Linked DNA regions of Arabidopsis thaliana. The protein of the gene in region 3 purifies or fractionates together with the protein of the main gene of each other region. This does not show direct contact. Each region holds a gene or a part of one and is shown on either strand. Other genes may lie near its edges. The genes, in order: NRPD1A, NRPD2A, SHH1 and CHR42.

Region 1 (4,722 bases), about 18 Mb from region 3:
CTCAATAATAGTTTTTCTCACAATTTTATTTATTTATTTCTGGCATTATAAATAGTTTTATTAACTAGACTACCCCAAATGTTTACAGTTTATAAGGTTAATAAGAAAATTTACTGGGACATTTTTAAGTCTAGTTTATTCTACTACATGTTTTTCAAAACAAATACTCATTTTGTTTTAATTTAATTATCATTTTAGCACTTAAATTTAATCTCACAATAATTATCGTTTTTAGTTTTTTAATGCAAATGTTTAATAAAAATGTGAGTATTAATGTCTTGACCAATAATTTTTTTAGAAACTATATTGAACAAGGGTAAAGTAGAAAATTTAATTGTTTTTTTTTATTTTCACTGCAAAAAATCTTAAACGACAAATAATTTTAAACAAAACTATTTTAATAACTAACCACTAAACTAACTATATAACTGTTTTACAAACGAAAGCGTGAACTTCACGTAAACAAAAATTCAATTTCACGCCGCCGACAAAAAACCTTAAACGACAACTAATTTTAAATAGAAGGAGTATATTTTAGTAATAATTATATGTTAAACTGTTTTAATAAATAACCACTAAACTAACTATGTAACTGTTTTACAAACGAAAGCGTGAACTTCACGTAAACAAGAATCTAATTTCACGTCGCCGACAAGAAAAACTGATTTCACTTATATATCTTGATTTATTAATGGACATTCACATACTCTCAAATAAGATTCTAGATCTTATAAATTTTAATCTATTTTTGTCTCAATTAATTTAGTTATTTATCACATTTCGCCTCTTATAAAATTATATGATAATTGTCTAAGCAGCTAACTAATTGTAATTGTTTTTCAAACAAAAAATATATTTTAATTACACATAATTTTTTTATCGAACAAAAATATATTTTAACGAAATATAAATGTTTCGAATCAAAGATAACAAATTTATAGCCTCAACTATACGTAAAACAAAATTTTATTTTACATATCATACTTTGATTGATACTAACACAAACTTCACAAATAAATTCGTATAATTATGTAATTTTAGATTATTTAGAGATTATAACTAGTATTTAGAAAAATCGCAAAATCATATAAGAAAAGAAATGGAATTTGTTTTTGGTTCAAATTATATTTTTTTTTCCCGCTATTCATATTATAGTTATGAACCAAAAATCAAGCTAGAAATAAAAACCACTAGGATTTTTTTTTTTTGCTAAGATGAAAATTTAGTTATACACTTATTTTTATTTATTTAAATATTACATTAAACTAATAAAAAGTATTAATTATTCTAATAACTTTTTGTCAGTTTTAAAATTAGGCCAAAAGTAAAAAACTAATACAGCTAATATAATATACTTAAGGAAGGATATTTCAACTTTTTCTTTTCTTCCCAGTTTCAGAGTTTATACAAATAAGGTAAAATTCGCAGAAACAGAAAATCATAAAGTAATTAAAATAATACAACCGAGGAAGTAAAAAGATTTCCAAAAGGTAAAAGGTGTACTCGTAAAGTAGGTAAATAGAGGTACAGGTCAAGGGGTAGTTTCGGTATTTACACTCTTTCTTCTTCTTTTTTTTTTTTTTTTGGTGTCTCACATTCCAAAGTCCCCATTGGACTTAGAGAAGAGTTTTTTTTTCGTTTTCTCTGCTTTCTCACTTTTTCCCGTTTCCTTTGGGAATACAAACGGCGGCTTCTCAAAAGCCTCCGATTTCGATTTTTTTTTCCTCTCTTTTTTTTTGTTCTTTCTTTAGAGTCTCTTCTTCAACTTCTTCTCCGGCATCTTCCGTCGGAGCTAAGGATCAGAAGTTTTTGTCTGTGCACTGTTTCAATTGGATCATTACATAGTGAGGATTCTCTGTTCGACGAAACGAGTAAGTAACTACATTGTTGTTCTTCCTCAATTCTCTTCTGGTTTTTCTTTCGTTTTTTTTTTTAAAACCTTTTTCGGTAATTTTCTTTTTATCTCTTTGAAACAATTTGAGTTCTTTTTTTTTTTGATTGATCACTGTGTCTGATTCCTTATCACGGTTCTTTTGTTTAAATTTGATCGATCGTTGTCTTTGAACTCCGATTTTGTTTCTATGAACTTTGTTTACTTTGGATGATTGTGAAAAGTTAAGTACTTTGGTTTATGCATGTTCTTATGAGAAATCGATTTCTTTCGTTTAGAGATCATCTTAAGGCGGCGAATGTTTTTGCACTAAGGGTTTGTGTGAGTCCTTTAGAAGAACATTTGGAAAATTTGTCCTTTTTTTTTTTTGGTCAGTGAATTTTTTTTTTTTTAATCCATGAATAGTGTATGTTCAAAGATTGAACCTTTTTGTGTGTATGTTCTGCAGTTTTTTTTCTTTCTTCTTTTTCTGAACATGTATTCTCTTATTTTTTTGGGTTCATGCTAGATTCTATTAGTAAATTCAATTTCGAATCTATAACTTGTTTTTGATAGGCCAGTCACAGAGGAAGATTGTGGTAACACTTTTGTCCCTTAACAAAAGTGTCTGTTTCTCTTTGGTCAATTTTTTGATCAGAGAGAGTTTGCTTTGGTTTTTGTGTTCTGGTCAATGAAATGCTAAAGATTGGTTTTTGTTTCATATTCTGCTGCACATTAGATTTGATGATAGAGGGTACAGATAGAAACTGATCTTTTCGACGATTTATCCGTGAGTTTTAGCTCTGTTTTATGTTACAGAAGTAAGTGTTAATTTTCAATAATGTGTGTTCAAAGTTTGAACTATTTTGTGTGTTCGTCAAATATTTTTGAGCTAGAATCTTCTTCCCTGAACATGTTCTCTCTTTTCTTTGGATATATGCTAGATTCTAAGTGGCCACTCACAGAGATAGTTTGTGAAGTTGTCTGTTTCTCAGTGGTTAGTATTGGTCAGAGCGAGTTTTTTGGTTTTGTCTGTCTAAATGCTAAATATTGGTTTTGTTTCATATTCTGCACATTGGAATTGGTCACTAAAACTTGCTTATAAAAACTGATGTTTTTACTTACGTATCTAAATTTTCCTTACTGATGGTTTTTTTTCTTGTAGGAAACTCTTCAACATGGAAGACGATTGTGAGGAGCTTCAGGTTCCCGTGGGAACTCTAACCTCGATAGGTTTTAGCATTTCAAACAACAATGATCGAGTAAGTGTTGTCCTTATTTATTCTTCTTGATTTGTTTATGAGTAGATGGAGCAAATATTTAATGTAATGGTACTTTATTATAGGATAAAATGTCTGTGCTAGAGGTTGAAGCACCGAATCAGGTGACTGATTCTCGGCTAGGATTACCGAATCCGGATTCTGTCTGCAGAACCTGTGGCAGCAAAGATCGAAAAGTTTGCGAAGGTATCATAAAGAATCTGGTTTTGGCAAATATTGTTCCAATCTTTTAGCTCATTTTATGATTAGTTCCCTGAGTTTGCTACTTTTCTCTCTGTTTTAGGGCATTTCGGGGTTATAAACTTCGCGTACTCGATAATAAACCCGTATTTCCTCAAGGAGGTAGCTGCGTTGTTAAACAAAATCTGTCCGGGGTGTAAATACATTCGAAAAAAGCAGTTTCAGGTTCACTAGTCTTTCCAAATCCTTTGTTGGTTTGTGTGTTTTGGAACTACATATACTAATGTCATTTTTGCTTGATATAGATTACCGAAGACCAGCCTGAGAGATGTAGATACTGCACTGTAAGAATATATGATTGCAACTAATTTTCTCAGTTTAAAACTTTGTTCCAACACTAATTTTCGGTTTTTGTTGTTGTTATATATCAGTTGAATACCGGTTATCCTCTAATGAAGTTTAGGGTAACTACTAAAGAAGTCTTCAGGCGATCCGGAATCGTTGTTGAAGTAAACGAAGAGAGTCTGATGAAACTCAAGAAACGGGGAGTGTTAACATTGCCTCCTGACTATTGGAGTTTTTTGCCGCAAGACTCTAATATCGACGAGAGCTGTTTGAAACCAACAAGGCGAATAATAACGCATGCACAGGTATAGAAGAGTGAAATGTACCATCTCCATGACTTCTTACTATATATAGTTTTCTGAAAATTTCACCTTTTTGCAGGTTTATGCTCTGTTATTAGGGATTGATCAGAGGCTCATCAAGAAGGATATCCCTATGTTCAACTCTCTTGGTCTGACATCTTTTCCTGTTACACCAAATGGTTACCGTGTAACCGAAATAGTTCATCAGTTCAACGGAGCTCGGCTAATATTTGTAAGCTAAAAACGCTTGTTTATATAATTTGTTATCATATACTATGGTATTTCTCTTATCTTTTCGAGTTTCTGTCACATTTTTGAAGGATGAACGGACTCGGATCTACAAGAAACTAGTCGGCTTTGAGGGAAACACACTTGAATTGAGTTCTCGTGTGATGGAATGCATGCAATATTCCAGAGTAAGTTAGTGGTTCCTGATAGATTTAAACTCTTCTTTCTGTTCTGTGAAGGTTAGTAGTATTTCTTGTTTTTTGCACAGCTCTTTTCGGAAACTGTGTCTTCGAGTAAAGATTCCGCAAATCCGTACCAGAAGAAGTCTGATACACCAAAACTTTGCGGTCTAAGGTTCATGAAAGACGTGCTGCTCGGTAAAAGAAGTGATCATACATTCCGGACAGTAGTTGTTGGTGATCCGTCCTTGAAGCTCAACGAGATTGGCATACCCGAGAGTATCGCAAAAAGGCTTCAAGTATCAGAGCATCTCAACCAGTGCAATAAAGAAAGGCTT
Region 2 (7,682 bases), on a different chromosome or scaffold from region 3:
ACCGTACTTCTCCACAGATGATCTCCAAATATCAGGAACAGACTTCCATTCATTAGAGCTCAAAGCAGCCTCCCTTGGCAATGATAAGCGTTCTAAGAATGGCGAACACCGCCTTAACTCCTTCTCCTGAATCTATAAGAACGGTACACAATTGATGTTACATATAATTCAGGAAATGAACCATAAGGTAAACTTACAAGAACCCTATAAAAGCCTTTCAGGATCAAGCTGTTTAAACCCTGGTCATCAGAAGCAATTCAGCTTTCATAAGACAAGTATCCTAAACTAATAAGACTCAGAAGTCAGAGCCACTCGTTGTCTATTTTGGTGCAACAGCTAAACTTGAACCTTCCCCAAAGTCAATTCATTTCTTTAGATTACTTACTTCAAAAATCAAAGTGAAAGGAGCAATTTTTTAAGTCCACAAACCAAAAAGGAACTCGCCTTGGATTCGCAGCGAACTCGAAATCCCCTGCGTGAAGTTCTGCAGCCAAAAGCCTTGTAACCAAACACCAATCTCATCCCAGAAACTTGAAATTCAGGAGCTGAGGAGCAGTGAGAAACGAGAATCGAAGCTCCGAGAGACGTTGAAGCCATGGCTGAGGAGATAAGAGGTTATCGTGATGAAGTTGCTTGCATAGAGAGAATATATGAGAGGAGAAAGAGAGAAAGATGAAGAAGCAAAGAAAGGTAGAAAGAAAGAGACGAGAAAGTAGGTCGATGTCATGATTACGATTTTTCACAGGAAAGATCAGTTCCAAGTTGGTTGGCACCGCTACAGAAGCATGGCTTCTTCAGACTCTCAGAGATAATAAAACAAAAAACAGAGCTCAATACTTACACTTATATAATAACTTTTTATTTACTTATATATTATATTTCTATAATTAGATCAGATTTAACCTAATAAATCAAACTACCCATAATTATGATGTCCCAAATTTGGTAACTATTTGATGATTATTTCTAAACTGTAGGAGCAACCCCAACTTTGTATCTTAGCTAATTTTTAGGTATAAAAGTGATTAAATTTAATGAAACCAATAAACTTTAGCTAAGATAAACATCTTTATTAAGCCTCTCCGTCACTCACCAAAAAAAAAAACATCTTTATTTTATTTTTTTTGGTTAAACAAAAACATCTTTATTAAGATATTTTCTTAAAACTAAGAAAAGCATATGTGTTGTGTTTTGAGTGGGTAGACATTGTGTTGAAATAGTTTGTTGTTTCTTAAAATTCTAATCGTTCTTAACCATTGAAGTAGAAATTGGTTAAACTTCTTCCTAACTTTTCTTAACTTAGTAAAAACAACATTTTAATTTAAAATAAGCTTAAGATCCAAAATTAAAAATTAATTGATTTTAAACCATTGGGATTGCTCTGAGCTTTTTTAGTGAATTATGTGTTGTTTTTTTTCTTTGTGTTTTGGTCAAAATTAAGTTATATATGAAATTTATTAAACCAAACAACCAAATCGAATTAGATGTAAAAACCAAAATGTAGATGTTACAAATTTTGGAAAAAAAAAAAGATGTTACAAATTTTATGTCATGTGAACTTCTAAATATATTTCCTTTTCACTTTAAAATAAAAATAAAATAAAACTTAAACATAAAAATATAGATACCAAAGAGCAAAATTTAATAATATTGTCTACTAGTACTAGTGACGTCAATTTCTTCACTTCTCTTTGACTGCTTCGCTTAACCACTGAAAAAGTGTGCCAAGGGTTTTCTACGTCGAATCTCTCCGCATTCTCAGCGATTTTCCGGCGACGTTTACTCTGCACTCCTCCGACACCGCCGTTTTACTCCATCGTGCCAGCTTTAAGCAATCAAGGTACCTATTTTAGGTAATACGCTTTGATTCTGCTTTTAAGCATCGGAGAATATGTTATGGAGAATGATTCGGTTCTAAGGGAAAGTTGTTGATTTCGTGTTTGTATTCGCATGATTGCATTTTCGTGGTTCATGATTTTCACAGCTTTTTAATCAATTTCTCTGTCTTTGTTTAGGGTTTTTGTTCGTACAGTGTGTTTTGAGGTATGCCAGATATGGACATTGATGTGAAGGATCTTGAAGAGTTCGAGGCTACTACTGGGGAGATCAATCTATCTGAGCTAGGAGAAGGTTTTCTGCAGAGTTTCTGCAAAAAAGCTGCAACTTCTTTCTTTGATAAGTATGGACTTATAAGTCATCAGCTCAACTCCTACAACTACTTCATTGAACACGGGCTTCAGAATGTGTTTCAATCCTTTGGTGAGATGCTTGTGGAACCGTCTTTTGATGTTGTAAAGAAGAAGGATAATGATTGGAGATACGCAACGGTGAAGTTCGGAGAAGTCACTGTGGAGAAGCCTACTTTCTTTTCGGATGACAAGGAGCTTGAGTTTCTCCCATGGCATGCTAGGCTTCAGAACATGACATACTCTGCAAGGATCAAAGTCAATGTCCAAGTTGAGGTAACAGAAATTCTTTGTCGAAATTAAGTAACCTTGTCTGGATTTGATGAATGATAAAGAACACATGGTATAAGCTTATTTCTTGATGTTTCTACTAGACTCTTTCTGACACATATATGAAGATGTTGACATACACTGAGGTTCCTGTCATAGATTTCTCAATTTAACTTGCCATCAAATAATTTACTAAGGGTTAAGGAACATATTTGTCTGAAACTGGTTTCACTCTTTTTGGCTTTACAAGTTTTCTGTAATTGGATTTGGTTCCTTATTTGCATTCGCTGGATTTCTTACCTGAGCAAAATATCTAGTAAAAGAGATTTATTACAGTTACATGTTCGTGTGAAGTAGAGGTGTATTTCAAGCTTGGTTGTGTTTAAGATTGATGATTTTGTCTGCTCCCAATCTTTAGATGTTTCTTGTTTAAAATTTGAATTGTGATTACTTTTCCTTGTAGTGGTGGGTATTCAAACGAAATAAGCTTTAGTTTGTTTCATTTTAAAGTTTGGATGCAATAAAAGAAAAACATCTTCAGCTTTTTTTTTTATTTAGTTCTTCCCCACTGCCTCACTGTGCTTTAGTTTGAGTGTTTTATGCTTGTGTGCAATGACTCTTGTACTGTCAAACTTTTGATGATGTTTCTGTTTTGCTGTCCATGTATCTTATTCTTATAAATGTAGTTTATTGTCTAACTGCTTCTTCACTCTATAAATTGACTAGGTGTTCAAGAATACTGTTGTTAAAAGCGACAAATTCAAGACAGGACAAGACAACTATGTCGAGAAGAAGATACTGGATGTCAAAAAGCAGGACATTCTAATTGGTAGCATTCCTGTCATGGTGAAATCTATCCTTTGCAAAACAAGCGAGAAAGGGAAAGAAAACTGCAAAAAGGGGGATTGTGCCTTTGATCAGGGTGGATATTTCGTGATAAAGGGGGCTGAGAAGGTGAGTTTAACTAATACATACATATATGCATATTGCCATTCAATACGTACAATAACTTTATTTTCTATGCCAAAACGGATTTTGTTTGTCAGCAATCCATAAAACGGATTATAGTTACAATTTTCTATCATCAGATAATAGTGTTTATCAGCAAAAAGATGTTACAAATTAGACAATAACCTATTTGGTTCATTTTATTTTCCTAATGGAGATGAAGTAAGAAATTAAGAAACTTAACTTATTTATGACTTTGTATACTTCGTTAGCATCAAAGATATAAACTTTTTCTTTCCTTTCTGGCTTGACCATGAGGCCATGAGTATTCAAATCTTACAGGAAGCGTTCTTTGCAATCTTAGGCTCTGGGACAGATGATTTGACTCTAATATATTCTGGAAAAAATATTTTCAAGTTGTTATACTTCTCCCTAACGTTATTATATTGTTTTGCAGGTGTTTATAGCTCAAGAACAGATGTGCACAAAGAGACTGTGGATTTCTAATTCACCATGGACAGTCTCCTTCAGGTCCGAAAATAAAAGAAATAGATTCATTGTGCGCCTCTCGGAGAATGAGAAAGCAGAAGACTATAAGAGAAGGGAGAAAGTACTGACAGTGTACTTCTTGTCGACTGAGATTCCAGTCTGGCTCCTCTTCTTTGCGCTAGGTGTTTCGTCAGACAAAGAAGCCATGGATCTAATTGCTTTTGATGGTGATGATGCAAGCATTACCAACAGTCTCATAGCTTCTATCCATGTAGCTGATGCAGTTTGTGAAGCTTTTCGCTGTGGGAACAATGCTTTAACATATGTTGAACAGCAGATCAAAAGCACCAAATTCCCTCCTGCTGAAAGTGTGGATGAGTGCCTCCATCTGTATTTGTTTCCAGGCCTCCAAAGTTTGAAGAAGAAAGCTCGATTCCTGGGCTATATGGTGAAGTGCCTTCTGAACTCGTATGCGGGAAAAAGAAAATGCGAAAACAGGGACAGTTTCCGGAATAAGCGAATTGAGCTCGCTGGAGAACTATTGGAGAGGGAGATAAGGGTGCATCTGGCACATGCTAGAAGAAAGATGACCAGGGCCATGCAGAAACACCTCTCAGGCGATGGTGATTTGAAGCCTATTGAGCATTATTTGGATGCTTCTGTTATCACAAATGGGCTTAGTAGAGCCTTCTCTACTGGAGCATGGTCTCATCCTTTCAGGAAGATGGAAAGGGTTTCAGGTGTTGTGGCTAATTTGGGTCGTGCAAATCCATTGCAGACTCTGATTGATCTGAGGAGAACGCGACAGCAAGTCTTATATACCGGCAAGGTTGGAGATGCTAGATATCCGTAAGTGAATTCCACCTCCTCTGGTATATTTAAATATATCTCACGTATTTTAACTTACTGGTCTGGTCTGCATTTACTCCATTTTACATGTCTTCAGACTGTTTTAAAGATATTCGTAATAACTTTAATTCAATGTAGTATATGATGCCGATCACTGTTTCTGCAGTCTCTTGTCTGTGTATAATACTTATTTTGTATAGATGTTACTGCTATTAAAAAACTCTGATACTGTCTTTCTTGTTTCTTTCTCCCTTGGTCAATCTATCTGTTGAACTCTTGAGATTATCCATTTTGGTTCCTTTTCAATGTGAGCGGTTAGACAATTAAATCGTGTTGGGAAACTGAACTATAGCTGCATTGTTTGTAATGTTGGCCACAGGCACCCCTCTCACTGGGGCAGAGTATGCTTTTTGTCAACTCCAGACGGTGAAAATTGTGGTCTTGTGAAGAACATGTCTCTTCTGGGACTTGTGAGCACCCAAAGTTTGGAGTCTGTGGTGGAAAAGCTCTTCGCTTGTGGAATGGAAGAGCTGATGGATGATACATGCACACCATTGTTTGGCAAACATAAAGTTCTTCTCAATGGAGACTGGGTTGGATTATGTGCAGATTCTGAATCCTTTGTCGCGGAGTTAAAAAGCAGGCGGCGCCAAAGTGAATTACCTCGTGAGGTATCTTCTGTTTCAGCAAATCTCTTGCTATATTTTGATATTCTTGTGTTACTTGGTATTTGCTTTGGATTTTTCTGCTTCAGATGTGTCTATGTCGAATATTGTTTATATATATGAAACGTTCTCTGCAGATGGAAATCAAGCGAGATAAAGATGACAATGAGGTAAGAATTTTCACTGATGCTGGTAGACTACTCCGACCTCTCTTGGTTGTGGAAAATCTCCAAAAGTTGAAGCAAGAAAAACCTTCACAGTATCCTTTTGACCATCTTCTTGACCATGGGATTCTCGAGCTGATCGGGATTGAGGAAGAAGAAGACTGTAATACAGCATGGGGAATCAAACAGCTTCTGAAGGAACCAAAGATATACACACATTGCGAATTGGACCTGTCATTCTTGTTGGGTGTGAGCTGTGCAGTTGTCCCATTTGCAAATCACGACCATGGGAGAAGAGTTCTCTACCAGTCCCAGAAGCACTGCCAACAAGCCATTGGATTCTCATCAACGAACCCTAACATCCGCTGCGATACGCTGTCCCAGCAGCTGTTCTATCCTCAGAAGCCACTGTTCAAGACATTGGCGTCGGAGTGTCTTAAAAAAGAAGTGCTGTTCAATGGCCAGAACGCAATTGTTGCTGTGAATGTTCATCTCGGGTACAACCAAGAGGATTCCATTGTGATGAACAAGGCTTCATTGGAACGTGGTATGTTCCGTTCAGAGCAGATTAGAAGCTACAAAGCAGAGGTTGATGCTAAAGACTCAGAGAAGAGGAAGAAGATGGATGAGCTTGTTCAGTTTGGAAAGACACACAGCAAAATCGGCAAAGTAGACAGCCTTGAAGATGACGGGTTTCCTTTCATTGGTGCTAACATGAGTACTGGCGATATTGTCATTGGCAGATGCACCGAGTCTGGGGCTGATCACAGTATAAAGCTCAAGCACACTGAGAGAGGAATTGTGCAAAAAGTGGTATTATCATCTAATGATGAAGGGAAGAATTTTGCTGCGGTTTCTCTGAGACAGGTAAGTTCCAGATCATACTAAATCGAGCTGTTTTTTCAGAGAATGCATTCCTATGTATGAATCGAATGTTCCATTGATTGGCTTTTACATCTTACAGGTTCGTTCTCCATGCCTTGGAGATAAGTTTTCCAGTATGCATGGCCAGAAGGGTGTTTTAGGCTACCTAGAGGAACAGCAGAATTTTCCTTTCACGATCCAAGGCATAGTTCCTGATATTGTGATAAACCCGCACGCTTTCCCTTCTAGGCAAACACCAGGTCAACTCTTGGAGGCTGCTCTCTCCAAAGGAATCGCTTGTCCTATACAAAAGGAGGGTAGCTCTGCTGCATACACCAAATTGACACGTCATGCCACTCCTTTCTCCACTCCGGGTGTCACTGAAATCACCGAGCAGCTTCACAGGTACATTCTTCACATTGTCTCTTGGTTTTAGCTCGTAAAACAGAATATAAAATTATATGCTATAACAGATTTACATTTGCTTCCTATACAAATAGATGATATCATTAAGGGCAGGAACATATTATTGATAATATTTCCTCGTTGAAGATGTTTAAACTTGGAGACTTTGGCTACAGAATTTCCAAAAGTTGATTGAGCTAATATACTGCACAAGGCACTAAGCTAGATTTGAGCACCTTACTTGAAACATGTCATAGTGGATCTTTATTTTGTTTTCTAGGAGTACTAGAAGTGAGCATGAGTTATCTGTCTCTGTAAGACTAAAAAACTAAGAAGTTCAATGTTCTATGGTTGATTAATTTCTTGTATTGTGCCTGAAAAACGTCTAGAGAATACAGAAAAATAGGCTCAAGAGTCATGTACCAGTATATAATTAGTTAGAGGATTGATGCTGTGAGCCTTGTGATCTATGTATAATTCATTTAACCTTTCTTAGATTATTGTTGATTCTTGAGTCCTGATTCATTACCAATGGTAAATATTTGTGATTAGGGCCGGCTTTTCAAGATGGGGAAACGAAAGGGTCTACAACGGTAGATCAGGTGAGATGATGCGTTCTATGATATTCATGGGCCCAACTTTCTACCAGCGACTTGTCCACATGTCAGAGGACAAAGTCAAGTTCAGGAACACTGGACCAGTCCACCCGCTCACACGCCAGCCAGTTGCAGACAGGAAGAGATTTGGCGGGATAAAATTTGGAGAAATGGAGCGAGACTGCCTAATAGCTCACGGTGCATCAGCTAATCTGCATGAGCGTCTCTTCACTCTAAGTGACTCTT
Region 3 (3,797 bases):
TCGTCTTCGTTGACAGATTTGGTTCGTCTAGAGCTTGTATTGAATATGTCTTCCATGTTTCTGCTTGCTTTGCTTACACTACGACTTATGGTTTGCCGCATACTCCCACCTCTGCTCATAGCATGAGCTGGATCGTAATCCATCTTTAGATCTTATGAATCTTGATCCTGTTTCTATTAAGTTAAGTGCTTCTTCTTCTTTCTTTTAGACTATTAGACTGATAGGATCCATATGTGAGTAGAAGAAACGGATGATATGTAAATTTCGTTGAAGAAAACAGAGAAAGAGATAAGCAAAGATGGTGTGTTTGTCAGTGCCTCTGCAGCATTGAGAGAGAAAAGAGTAAGGGACAATGACGAGTGCAAGCTCCCCCTCTGGTGCTCTCTGTTATTTTATCACAATCTCCAATGAAAACTATAAAGAAAAGCACCACTTGATTGTGCCTTTTAAATTCTTGTGATTATTATAGTAATCCATGCAATAATGAAACATCTTTTAACAGGATGGCCCATGTGGAAAATGAAGGATGCCTAGTCAATCATACACGAGTTAAAAATTCGATTTATACGTTTGTATAAGGTTGGTGCTTAATGATGTAGACAGGTTGTCTTTTTTTGGCTTGATTGGTTTTGTTTTTCCTCACCTTCTATTGTCAACAATAGAGCAGGTGGCCTTTTTAAATTAATAAAAGATTGACGGATTCAAGAGATGGCAATGGACCAATGGTGATAAGAATGAGAGGAGTGATTAGTGCAGAACAGGTATAGAAAATTTGGGACTTATGTAAGAAATTGAATTAGTCTACTACGATTAGTTATATTTGGTTATGACTTACTAGTAGACCTCGTACCAACTACACACAATCTACAAATGTCAAAGTAACTCGTTATGAGTTCAAACATCTTGACCCCAATTTATGGATGCTATTAGCTTTGTTAATCAAGTAAAGTTATAGTATATCTACTGCGTGCGTGATTAGTTAAATACCGTAATTAATACGTAACACAGAATGACAGCTATGTAACCGAGTACAAATCCCTGATTAAATTTTCTATGTTTGCGTGTTTGTGTCTCGGTCAAAATCAATCAGGGCCTTTGCCATCATTTTCAAATTTGTGCGTTTAAAATGCTTTAAAGCACGTGTAATTAACTAACTAATTACAATAATGTATATTTGATATGTTTAGTAACGAATCTTGTATTGGAGAAATAAGGGCCTGGGTTGTCGCCAACAAAAGAAGGTAGAGCCTTAGTGAGGATTAGCTGTGATTAAATTATATACTTATACATGCTATGATAGTATTTGATTAATAATGTCAGTAATCATGAATATTAATAAACACTCCACCACGCACCACCAGCTCATATGACTTGGAAGATTCCCCGCGGACGGGTTCCCTCATCCTGTCTCGATTGTTTCAAAGTCATTTATAAATATTAAATAATAGTACAGTTATATGAGTGTGGTTAAAATAAAATAATAGACGGTCCAAAAAACAAGCATATGGGTAATAAATTAGTGAGTTTAAGCCCATTTATATTATTATTATCCATTTTAGGCCCATTAACCCACTAAAGCTCACTGAACTCTGAAGGCATCAGTGTAGTAGCAAATTAGCTCAAGATCCTTTTCACTTCTTCTTCTTCTTCCTTGTGCGCTCGATAATGGCTGCTTCCGATGATTCCTCTCACTATTTCACCGAGTTTACCTTGTCTGAGGTTATCTATGCTTTCTATCATTCGTTTTCTTAGATTAGAGATTCATGCTTTGTGATCTTATTGCTCTTCTTATTCGAAGATTGTAGACATGGAGAATCTGTATAAGGAGCTCGGTGACCAATCTCTCCACAAAGATTTCTGTCAAACTGTTGCCTCTACTTTTAGGTACTTTATTCTGAATTTTACGAGAATTTGATCATGTGAATGTGTTTGTTAGAGAATCGAGACACAAGCATTTTGTGGATTTATAGGAATAGTAGGATTATTGATTTTCATGCACAGTATCTAAAAAATCTTTATGTCTTCTTCCATTTTCTCTTATAGTTGTTCTGTGAATCGGAATGGCAAATCCTCTATAACCTGGAAACAGGTGCGTCTCTTTTTTCTTCATAGAGCTAACTGGTAAAAAATGCAAATAGAGTAGAAATAACTTTTTTTTTTGAATCAAAATGTTTTCAGGTACAGATTTGGTTCCAGGAGAAGCTGAAGCATCAAAGCCAACCAAAATCCAAAACTTTGCCATCTCCCCCTTTGCAGATTCATGACTTATCTAATCCCAGTTCTTATGCTTCAAATGCCTCAAATGCTACCTTTGTTGGGAATTCTACCTTTGTTCAAACACGAAAAGGTTTTCCTTTTCTTGTGTGCCATATTTGATTCTTTTAGTTAACGCCTTATAACGCCTATGAACATTTTCATACACAGGCAAGGCCTCTGATTTAGCTGATCTGGCTTTTGAGGCTAAATCAGCGCGGGACTACGCGTGGTAAGAACGTTTCCTTGCATTGAATATCATGTTTCTATTTTTGCTTTAACTCTTGGACTACTGCTAGCATATGACTTTGTTAAGTGGCCTAAGTAAGAACCTGAAATGTGAACTCTCTGTTGATTGTTAACTCAACGAGGAATGCCCTTACCTATTCAGTGTGAACTTAAGAAAGAACGTTATTCATATAAAGCCTAATTTTTGGACTTGTAATATACGTTTGTGTTTTATATCTGTGCTTATTTGCTGGAATTCTGGTCTTTCAGGTATGACGTGTCTTCGTTCCTTACTTATAGAGTTCTTCGCACTGGTGAACTGGTAAGCTTTTTCTCTTTTGTTTAATGGATGATTTGTTTGCAACTAAGAGTGTCTGCAACAGGAAGTGCGTGTACGGTTTTCTGGGTTCGACAACCGACACGATGAGTGGGTAAACGTCAAAACATCAGTGCGTGAGCGGTCTATTCCTGTAGAACCATCAGAGTGTGGGAGAGTGAACGTTGGAGACCTGCTTCTATGTTTCCAAGTAAGGCTGACTTTGATCTAATTATGAAGGATGGAACATTTAACAAAAGAAATTTGAACTTAAAAATGAAAGTTGGGGTGGTTAATGAGCAGGAAAGAGAGGATCAAGCACTCTACTGTGATGGTCATGTTTTGAATATCAAGAGAGGGATTCATGATCACGCGAGATGTAACTGCGTGTTTCTTGTTCGCTACGAGCTTGACAATACAGAGGTAAGAAGATTGATCTCAGCCTTTTTGTTGGGTGTGGGAACTATTGACGAAGTTTTGTGTTAAGTGTATGTTCAGGAATCGCTGGGACTAGAAAGAATTTGCCGCCGCCCTGAAGAGTAATTTTTTTTGGTTTTGAAGTCATATTTGGAAGATGCAGTAAACTATGACTATATAGTATATGACTGACCCAAAAATGGAATAACATGCTCATGTATAGACTTCCACTACTAAGTACCTACCGGCCCTAGGATTCTATGTTAGTTTTTTTCTGTCAACTATGTGGAATAAAGTGCAAAAGCTTAGAATTGTAAAGGGAATGGTGATGGTACAATGTAATAATACCCAAATGCTTAACCAGTTAACACCCTATGTAATGTTCAACATACAGTCTCATTCTTGTGAGCAAGACTATTTCTTTCTGTTTACTCATTGCTTCTTGTATATACAATACGCAGGTCAATACATTTTGTGAGCTTCGGCTTATTAAGATAAAGATGTGGAAAAAAGCTCATTTAGCACAAAAACTATTTGGAAAGAAATAAATCTTTGTGCCGAAAGTAATATAACTATCGACCCG
Region 4 (7,872 bases), on a different chromosome or scaffold from region 3:
CTTTTTCGATTCTTAATGTAAAATTTGAGTCTTTTTGTGCATCCGATGTGGGTTTGGTAGTGTATGATCAAATAGTCATATTTACAGAGTTCTCTGTTCCTTGTGTGTGCATTTGAGATTAGACTTTGTTTTTAGTGTTTTTTCATCAACGAATGTGAAGTGATTTGGAAAGGTAGAGCAACATCATTATCACTCTTTAATCAAATTTTGATTACATGCACAGATGTAATTAGCATTTTCCTCAATGATAATAAAAAAGCATAAGAGCAGAGCACTCTGTTGTTGTCCCATTTTTGCTAAGGACATGCTTATCCGCATCTAACTTAACAGTGAATCCATGCTTGCTAATAGGAGATAACCCGAGATTAAATTGATTGATATCTAATGCTCAAAAAAACTAACACCTAGAGCTTTGGAAGTGAATTTGAGTCTATACTCATTTTTACTTAACCACTTCTACACAACACCAAGACATCCCTTGGTTTTGTGATTAACAATGACTAGCCAACGAAGAGGGGAAAAAAAATAGCCTGTTGTTTCTGTACAATGAAGTTAAAGAGCGGTTCTGTTGGTATTTGATGCTGATCTTGTTTATTGATTGAAACCTCACAAGATCAACCTATTATAGAAGCCAAAGTCATTTTGTAAAAGCCAAAGTCATTATTACATATATCATAAACTTCATCAGGATGTTATTAGTGGATATATGAAAATCCCTTTTCCCCCTGAAAACACGAAGAGTTTTCTATGGTTTCAAAATAGTTTCCACGAGCTTTTGAATAGGAACCATTTCTTCTTTATCAACCAACTGGAACTCCTGCATGTTGCCAAAATCGTGCATCATCGTTAAATATACAAACTTTTACCATCCGCTATATGAGAACAGTCCTAAGTACTCATCATGATTTAGAGAAAGATTAATCAACTCACAGATACGAAGAGAAGGTAACGGTGGAAGCAAGTGTTGAGATGAGCTTGTTCATTGAGAGTGACAATCTTAGGAAAGTGAGAATGATAGATGTGTGCATAGACACGAAACAACTTTCTCAAAATCCGCTTCACGAAATCCTCAAAGTTTGGAGGGAATGGTTCTCCTGAATGGGAAAGAAAGAAACAAGTGTTACAAACTAAAAACCAACTTCATGATCATGTTTAAAACTATGAATTATCTTCACAAATACCAGTCTTTTTCGGAAAGATGTGTTCGTTATCTATCTGAGTTTCAATCCAATTCATGAGAAGCTCAACATATTCAGGGGCTGAAACCATAGTAGTTCCATCTGCCCATCGATACTCATATCTGCAAACAATAAGACCGAGAAAGATCGATACTGTGCTATACAACTATATATTGTTTTACGATCAAGAAGCTTTGGATTTGAATTGATGGATGAGAATATCAAGAATGAGAAAGCTACCTTCCAGCCTTCATAACTGGGCAAGTGGTGGGTGTGCAGAACTCTTTAAGAGTAGCATACAAAAGGCTTATTTGGTTGTAGAAATCTACAGCTAAAAGAATATCAAGAATGAGAAAGCTACCTTCCAGCCTTCAATTTTTTTTACGTTGTACAACTACTACCTAAGTTATAGGTCATCATAACCTACTTAGGCTCCCTACAACACTCGCTGTCAAAGAGTTACCGCCATATCTCCACCGTGGACCCCACAAAAGTTTCATATAACTTTTCTTGTGACAGAAAATCTATCTAAACAGATAAAATATAACAAATCACAGCCGTCTAGTTTTCTCTTCCAGATGAAACGTACAAATCACAGCCGTCTATTTTTCTCTTAGATAAAACGTAACAAATCACAGCCGTCTATTTTTATCCTCTAGATAAAACATAGCAAATCGCAGCCGTCTATTTTTCTAATTACCTTTTCTCCTTGAACCTTTTCCTCTTGTCCGGTTCGTTTGCCAACACTCCCTTTCTCACTCACTCACTCTTTTTTGTTTGTTGTATACAACAAAATTCATGCAAATCTTTATTAAGTAATTTATATTCACAGTGGCCAACAAGATTCTGAAATAACTACTGAGGAGGTATTGAACTCTCCGTCCTTTTTCTCTACATATTTCTTGAATCATGGAATAGTAGATTATATAGCTCTTGGTATTCAATTTCACTGCACAATCTGGTTTTGTTTCCAAGGTCCGATCATCTTTTCTTCAGTTCAATCTGAGTCTTGTTGTTGTCTTGGGATTCAAGATTCTGCTTTCTAGATCATGATCGTTTGCTTTTGAATCAGACCCTATTCATCAAATACTCTTTATTTTTATTTTATTTTTGTGTTCTTTAGATATATGGGTTTTGTTGATAACGATGCTTTTAGCCTTTAGTGATGACCGATTTAATATATATTTTTTTGCCTCTTCTGGACTCTCTGTTCCAGGAAAATATATGGGTTTTGTTTTTTACCTAAAAACACAAATGTTAACAATTTGTGAACTTTTTCGATTCTTAACGTAAGATTTGAGTCTTTTCGTGTATCCGATGTGGGTTTGGTTGTGTATGATCAAGTTTTCATATATGCAGAGTTCTCTGTTCCTTGTTTTGTATGTAAGATTAGACTTCGAAATGTGAAGCGATTTGGAAAGATATAGCATCAATTATAACTCTTAACCAAATTTTGATTACATGCACATATGCACTTAGCATTTCCCTCAATCAAAAAAGCATAAGACTGAAAACTAAGTTACCTCATAATAGCAGAGCAGAGCACACTGTTCTGTCCTTTTCTGCTGATCTTTGAGTTATTGCTATAAAAATAGGCATCTGACTTTTGGGGTTTGTTATACTTATGTTGCCGTTGTAGGATCTTCGCATAACAATGTTGTTGGTTGATTGGCCCAAAAGTTATAAAAAAATATGAAGAAAAGAGGTTTCTACAATTTGAAGCATCCATTTGATCCATGTCGTAAGTGCATTTCCCTTTATATCAATTTTCTTCTGTTCTCATTTAAGTGCAAGTTAGCCACAGAGCTGAACTTAAAGTTATAAACCATTCAGTACTTTGAGAAGTTGGAAATTGTTGGATTGAAATGCCAAAGTACAGACTGGATTACTTTGACTAATGGATAACAATGTTCCGGTTCTTACTCTTTAGCTTTCGAGTTCTTCTGCTCGGGTACATGGAAGCCTGTGGAATACATGAGGATCGAAGATGGAATGATGACAATACGTCTGTTAGAGAATGGTTATGTGTTGGAAGATATCCGTCCTTTCCAAAGGCTTCGTCTCAGATCAAGAAAAGCGGCTTTGAGCGACTGTATCTGTTTCCTTCGGCCTGATATCGATGTTTGTGTTCTCTATCGTATCCACGAGGATGACTTGGAACCGGTACATGTAGCTGAAATCGCGTGAATTTGATTCTTCAAATACTCTGCATCTTCAAACTCATCAAAATACTCTGTATCTGTTTCTTGCATAGGTTTGGGTGGATGCGAGGATTGTTTCTATAGAGAGGAAGCCTCATGAGTCTGAATGCTCTTGCAAGATCAATGTTAGAATTTACATTGACCAAGGCTGCATTGGCTCGGAGAAACAGAGAATCAATAGAGATTCCGTGGTTATCGGTCTAAACCAAATCTCCATTCTCCAAAAGTTTTACAAGGAACAAAGTACTGATCAGTTCTACAGATGGAGATTCTCTGAGGACTGCACTTCCTTGATGAAAACAAGACTGTCTTTGGGAAAGTTCTTGCCGGATCTTTCGTGGTTGACTGTTACCTCAACTTTGAAAAGCATTGTGTTTCAAATAAGAACAGTGCAAACCAAGATGGTTTATCAGATTGTAACAGATGAAGAAGGCTCTAGCAGTACGTTGAGTTCGATGAATATTACTTTGGAAGACGGTGTTTCGTTATCAAAAGTGGTTAAGTTTAATCCGGCAGATATATTGGATGATTCTCAAGATCTTGAAATAAAGCAAGAAACCGATTATTATCAAGAAGAAGATGAGGTAGTGGAACTACGTAGGTCCAAAAGAAGAAACGTGAGACCGGATATCTACACCGGATGTGATTATGAGCCAGATACAATTGACGGTTGGGTGCGGATGATGCCGTACCAGTTTGGAAAATGTGCTGTTAATGTTGAGAGTGATGAAGACGAGGACGATAACAATGAGGATGGTGATACTAATGATGATTTGTATATACCATTATCGCGTTTATTCATCAAGAAAAAGAAAACTAATTCTCGAGAAGCGAAACCGAAAAGTCGAAAAGGCGAGATCGTTGTGATAGACAAGAGGAGAGTACATGGATTTGGTAGAAAAGAGAGGAAATCCGAGCTTTCGGTTATTCCTTTCACTCCGGTGTTTGAGCCTATACCGTTGGAACAGTTTGGTCTTAATGCTAACAGTTTTGGTGGGGGTGGTAGTTTCTCAAGAAGCCAGTACTTTGATGAGACTGAAAAGTATCGAAGTAAAGGCATGAAATACGGGAAGAAAATGACGGAAATGGAAGAGATGATGGAAGCTGATCTATGTTGGAAAGGTCCTAACCAGGTGAAGTCGTTTCAAAAACGAACATCCCGATCTTCGCGGTCAGTTGCTCCAAAAACAGAGGATTCTGATGAACCACGGGTCTATAAGAAAGTAACATTGAGTGCAGGTGCATATAACAAGCTGATAGATACATACATGAACAACATTGAGTCCACAATTGCAGCCAAGGACGAGCCTACCAGTGTTGTTGACCAGTGGGAGGAGTTAAAGAAGACGAATTTCGCATTTAAACTGCATGGGGATATGGAAAAGAACTTGAGTGAGGATGGTGAGGGAGAGACTTCAGAGAACGAAATGTTATGGAGAGAAATGGAACTATGCTTGGCTTCTTCTTACATTCTCGATGACAACGAGGTACAATTCTCTTTGAGATATCGCATATACTAAAACTAAAACTATATACAAGCATTTGCCTGCTAATTCCATTGTTGTGGTGTATCAAAATCTCTAGGTAAGAGTGGATAACGAGGCTTTCGAAAAGGCGAGAAGTGGTTGTGAGCACGATTATAGGCTGGAGGAAGAAATCGGGATGTGTTGCAGGTTATGTGGTCATGTAGGAAGTGAGATAAAAGATGTATCTGCACCATTTGTAAGTGAAACTCACAACTTACAAATGCATAATGTTAATGTTACTGGGCTTGTAATAAATGATTATATTTCATGGTTTGGTTTGAATAGGCAGAACATAAGAAATGGACCATAGAGACTAAGCATATCGAAGAAGATGACATAAAGACTAAGTTGAGCCACAAAGAAGCCCAGACTAAAGATTTCTCTATGATAAGTGATTCTTCAGAAATGCTTGCGGCTGAAGAAAGTGACAACGTTTGGGCATTAATACCTAAGCTTAAGAGAAAACTACATGTGCATCAACGAAGAGCTTTCGAGTTTCTCTGGAGAAATGTAGCAGGATCTGTGGAACCCTCGCTTATGGATCCCACTTCAGGTAACATAGGTGGTTGTGTGATCTCTCATTCACCTGGAGCTGGTAAAACATTCCTAATCATTGCTTTCCTCACTAGCTACTTGAAGCTATTTCCCGGGAAAAGACCTTTGGTTCTTGCTCCTAAAACAACTTTGTACACATGGTACAAGGAGTTCATCAAATGGGAGATCCCAGTTCCGGTTCATTTGATCCACGGTCGAAGAACCTATTGTACCTTCAAACAGAACAAAACGGTTCAGTTCAATGGAGTTCCTAAACCGAGCCGAGATGTTATGCATGTTCTTGATTGCCTAGAAAAAATACAGAAATGGCATGCTCATCCGAGTGTTCTTGTAATGGGTTACACCTCGTTTACGACTTTGATGAGGGAAGACTCGAAGTTTGCTCACCGGAAATACATGGCTAAAGTGCTAAGAGAGAGTCCCGGGCTTCTTGTTCTTGATGAAGGGCATAACCCGAGGAGTACCAAGTCAAGACTACGTAAGGCCTTGATGAAAGTTGGTACTGACTTAAGAATACTTCTTTCGGGTACTTTGTTTCAGAACAACTTTTGCGAGTACTTCAACACGCTATGTTTGGCTAGACCAAAGTTTATTCATGAGGTTCTAATGGAGTTAGATCAGAAATTCAAGACCAATCACGGTGTGAATAAGGCGCCTCACTTGCTCGAGAATAGAGCTCGTAAATTATTCCTCGATATAATTGCCAAGAAGATTGATGCAAGCGTGGGAGATGAACGCCTTCAAGGTCTCAATATGTTGAAGAATATGACTAATGGTTTCATTGATAACTATGAAGGGAGTGGAAGTGGAAGTGGTGATGCTCTTCCAGGTCTACAGATCTATACATTAGTGATGAACTCGACGGATATACAGCATAAGATACTCACGAAACTTCAGGATGTAATAAAGACGTACTTTGGGTATCCACTTGAGGTCGAGCTTCAGATAACATTAGCAGCTATACATCCGTGGTTGGTCACAAGCTCAAACTGTTGCACAAAATTCTTCAACCCGCAAGAACTTTCCGAGATCGGAAAACTCAAGCACGACGCAAAGAAAGGATCTAAAGTCATGTTTGTGTTAAACCTTATTTTCCGAGTGGTCAAGAGGGAGAAGATCTTGATCTTTTGCCACAACATTGCGCCAATCCGTATGTTTACCGAACTGTTTGAGAACATTTTCAGGTGGCAAAGAGGCAGAGAGATCTTGACCTTAACCGGTGATCTTGAGCTGTTTGAAAGAGGTCGAGTGATAGACAAATTCGAAGAACCTGGAAACCCATCCCGAGTCCTCCTGGCCTCGATCACAGCTTGCGCAGAAGGGATTAGTCTGACCGCTGCTTCACGGGTCATCATGCTCGACTCAGAATGGAACCCTTCTAAGACAAAGCAAGCTATAGCTCGTGCATTCAGACCGGGACAGCAGAAAGTTGTTTACGTTTATCAGCTCTTGTCCAGAGGAACATTAGAGGAAGACAAGTACAGGAGGACAACATGGAAAGAGTGGGTCTCGTGTATGATATTCAGTGAGGAGTTTGTTGCGGATCCATCTCTGTGGCAAGCTGAGAAGATTGAAGATGATATTCTTAGAGAGATCGTTGGAGAAGATAAAGTTAAATCTTTCCATATGATCATGAAGAATGAGAAGGCTTCAACAGGGTAAATGAAGGTTTGTATACATAAAGAATAATGAGAGCCTGGAATTTTCCGCAAACAGAAACAAAAAGGTTAGTTCTCTGTTTTAGCCATGGCTTGGAAGATCCTAAGTCTCTGGAACTCATGTGTCATATACTAATAATGTGAATATGTATCATATACTAATAAGAAGAAAATGTATCATATACTAATAATGTGTAAGTCCGTCTCTAATAATGTGAAATATATCGACAAAATTAATAGTAATGTGATTCTATATGAACAAGAATCTCTTGTTGATATTGTTAATGGCTAACAATAATGCAAAGACATCATGAACCTTTTGCTTAAAAATAATACATACAACTTCAATCAATAAACAAATTAGGGAATATAAGGAAAGGAAAAAATAACAGACAAAAGAACTACTAAGGGAGACATGTTAATATAAACATGGGACATCAAACTAAACTGGCAAAAGAAGAGGTAAGATTGTAAGAGACGCTAGCAAGAGGACCTCGTTGCTCTGAGAGCTCATCAATGTCTTTGACAATGTCGAAGACTGCCTCAGGCTGAGCTAGTTTACGTGCATTGTCTGAAGTTTGTTCCAACTCATCTGTCTTTGTGCTAAACCATTCCCCAACGATTCTAGCTGTCTCTTTGGGACTTCTTGTGAATACTCCTGCACCATTCTCCACTACATACGGCACATTCCCTTTCTCCTGTTTGGTTTCAAGTGTAATTGATATGAGAATTATACATATATATATATATGAGC

What was found.
Region 1: the proteins of SHH1 (region 3) and NRPD1A purify together in Arabidopsis thaliana (affinity purification with mass spectrometry; 2 studies listed by BioGRID, with this or other methods). This does not show direct contact.
Region 2: the proteins of SHH1 (region 3) and NRPD2A purify together in Arabidopsis thaliana (affinity purification with mass spectrometry, with the first as the bait; one study listed by BioGRID). This does not show direct contact.
Region 4: the proteins of SHH1 (region 3) and CHR42 purify together in Arabidopsis thaliana (affinity purification with mass spectrometry, with the first as the bait; one study listed by BioGRID). This does not show direct contact.

Annotation. Positions count from the first base shown.
Region 1 is NC_003070.9:23,359,453-23,364,174, reverse strand, and holds the start of NRPD1A (nuclear RNA polymerase D1A), read left to right. Parts: upstream 1-1,687; 5' UTR 1,688-1,738; exon of another isoform or gene 1,739-1,871; intron 1,872-1,982; 5' UTR 1,983-2,027; intron 2,028-3,035; 5' UTR 3,036-3,048; coding exon 3,049-3,132; intron 3,133-3,215; coding exon 3,216-3,336; intron 3,337-3,433; coding exon 3,434-3,555; intron 3,556-3,635; coding exon 3,636-3,674; intron 3,675-3,761; coding exon 3,762-3,980; intron 3,981-4,056; coding exon 4,057-4,209; intron 4,210-4,297; coding exon 4,298-4,393; intron 4,394-4,443; exon of another isoform or gene 4,444-4,473; coding exon 4,474-4,722. UniProt on the Arabidopsis thaliana protein: DNA-dependent RNA polymerase catalyzes the transcription of DNA into RNA using the four ribonucleoside triphosphates as substrates. Largest and catalytic component of RNA polymerase IV which mediates 24-nt short-interfering RNAs (siRNA) accumulation.
Region 2 is NC_003074.8:8,568,183-8,575,864, reverse strand, and holds the start of NRPD2A (nuclear RNA polymerase D2A), read left to right. Parts: upstream 1-1,655; 5' UTR 1,656-1,853; intron 1,854-2,015; 5' UTR 2,016-2,045; coding exon 2,046-2,462; intron 2,463-3,182; coding exon 3,183-3,410; intron 3,411-3,861; coding exon 3,862-4,742; intron 4,743-5,121; coding exon 5,122-5,413; intron 5,414-5,544; coding exon 5,545-6,438; intron 6,439-6,535; coding exon 6,536-6,840; intron 6,841-7,392; coding exon 7,393-7,682. Other genes in the region: AAE16 (AMP-dependent synthetase and ligase family protein), read right to left, coding at 1-132, 445-597. UniProt on the Arabidopsis thaliana protein: DNA-dependent RNA polymerase catalyzes the transcription of DNA into RNA using the four ribonucleoside triphosphates as substrates.
Region 3 is NC_003070.9:5,236,431-5,240,227, forward strand, and holds SHH1 (SAWADEE HOMEODOMAIN protein), read left to right. Parts: upstream 1-1,613; 5' UTR 1,614-1,665; coding exon 1,666-1,719; intron 1,720-1,798; coding exon 1,799-1,884; intron 1,885-2,043; coding exon 2,044-2,089; intron 2,090-2,178; coding exon 2,179-2,347; intron 2,348-2,424; coding exon 2,425-2,485; intron 2,486-2,751; coding exon 2,752-2,803; coding exon of another isoform or gene 2,804-2,827; intron 2,828-2,864; coding exon 2,865-3,008; intron 3,009-3,100; coding exon 3,101-3,283; downstream 3,284-3,797. Other genes in the region: ABCG35 (pleiotropic drug resistance 7), read right to left, coding at 1-143. UniProt on the Arabidopsis thaliana protein: Involved in RNA-directed DNA methylation (RdDM). Required for the silencing of some endogenous RdDM targets and accumulation of 24-nt siRNAs, but not for the production of Pol V-dependent transcripts.
Region 4 is NC_003076.8:6,898,265-6,906,136, reverse strand, and holds CHR42 (chromatin remodeling 42), read left to right. Parts: upstream 1-1,894; 5' UTR 1,895-2,044; intron 2,045-2,817; 5' UTR 2,818-2,870; coding exon 2,871-2,919; intron 2,920-3,108; coding exon 3,109-3,341; intron 3,342-3,432; coding exon 3,433-4,866; intron 4,867-4,963; coding exon 4,964-5,101; intron 5,102-5,190; coding exon 5,191-7,122; 3' UTR 7,123-7,347; downstream 7,348-7,872. Other genes in the region: AT5G20430 (Mob1/phocein family protein), read right to left, coding at 746-817, 931-1,094, 1,182-1,300, 1,419-1,432; MGD2 (monogalactosyldiacylglycerol synthase 2), read right to left, coding at 7,556-7,816. UniProt on the Arabidopsis thaliana protein: Probable chromatin remodeling factor.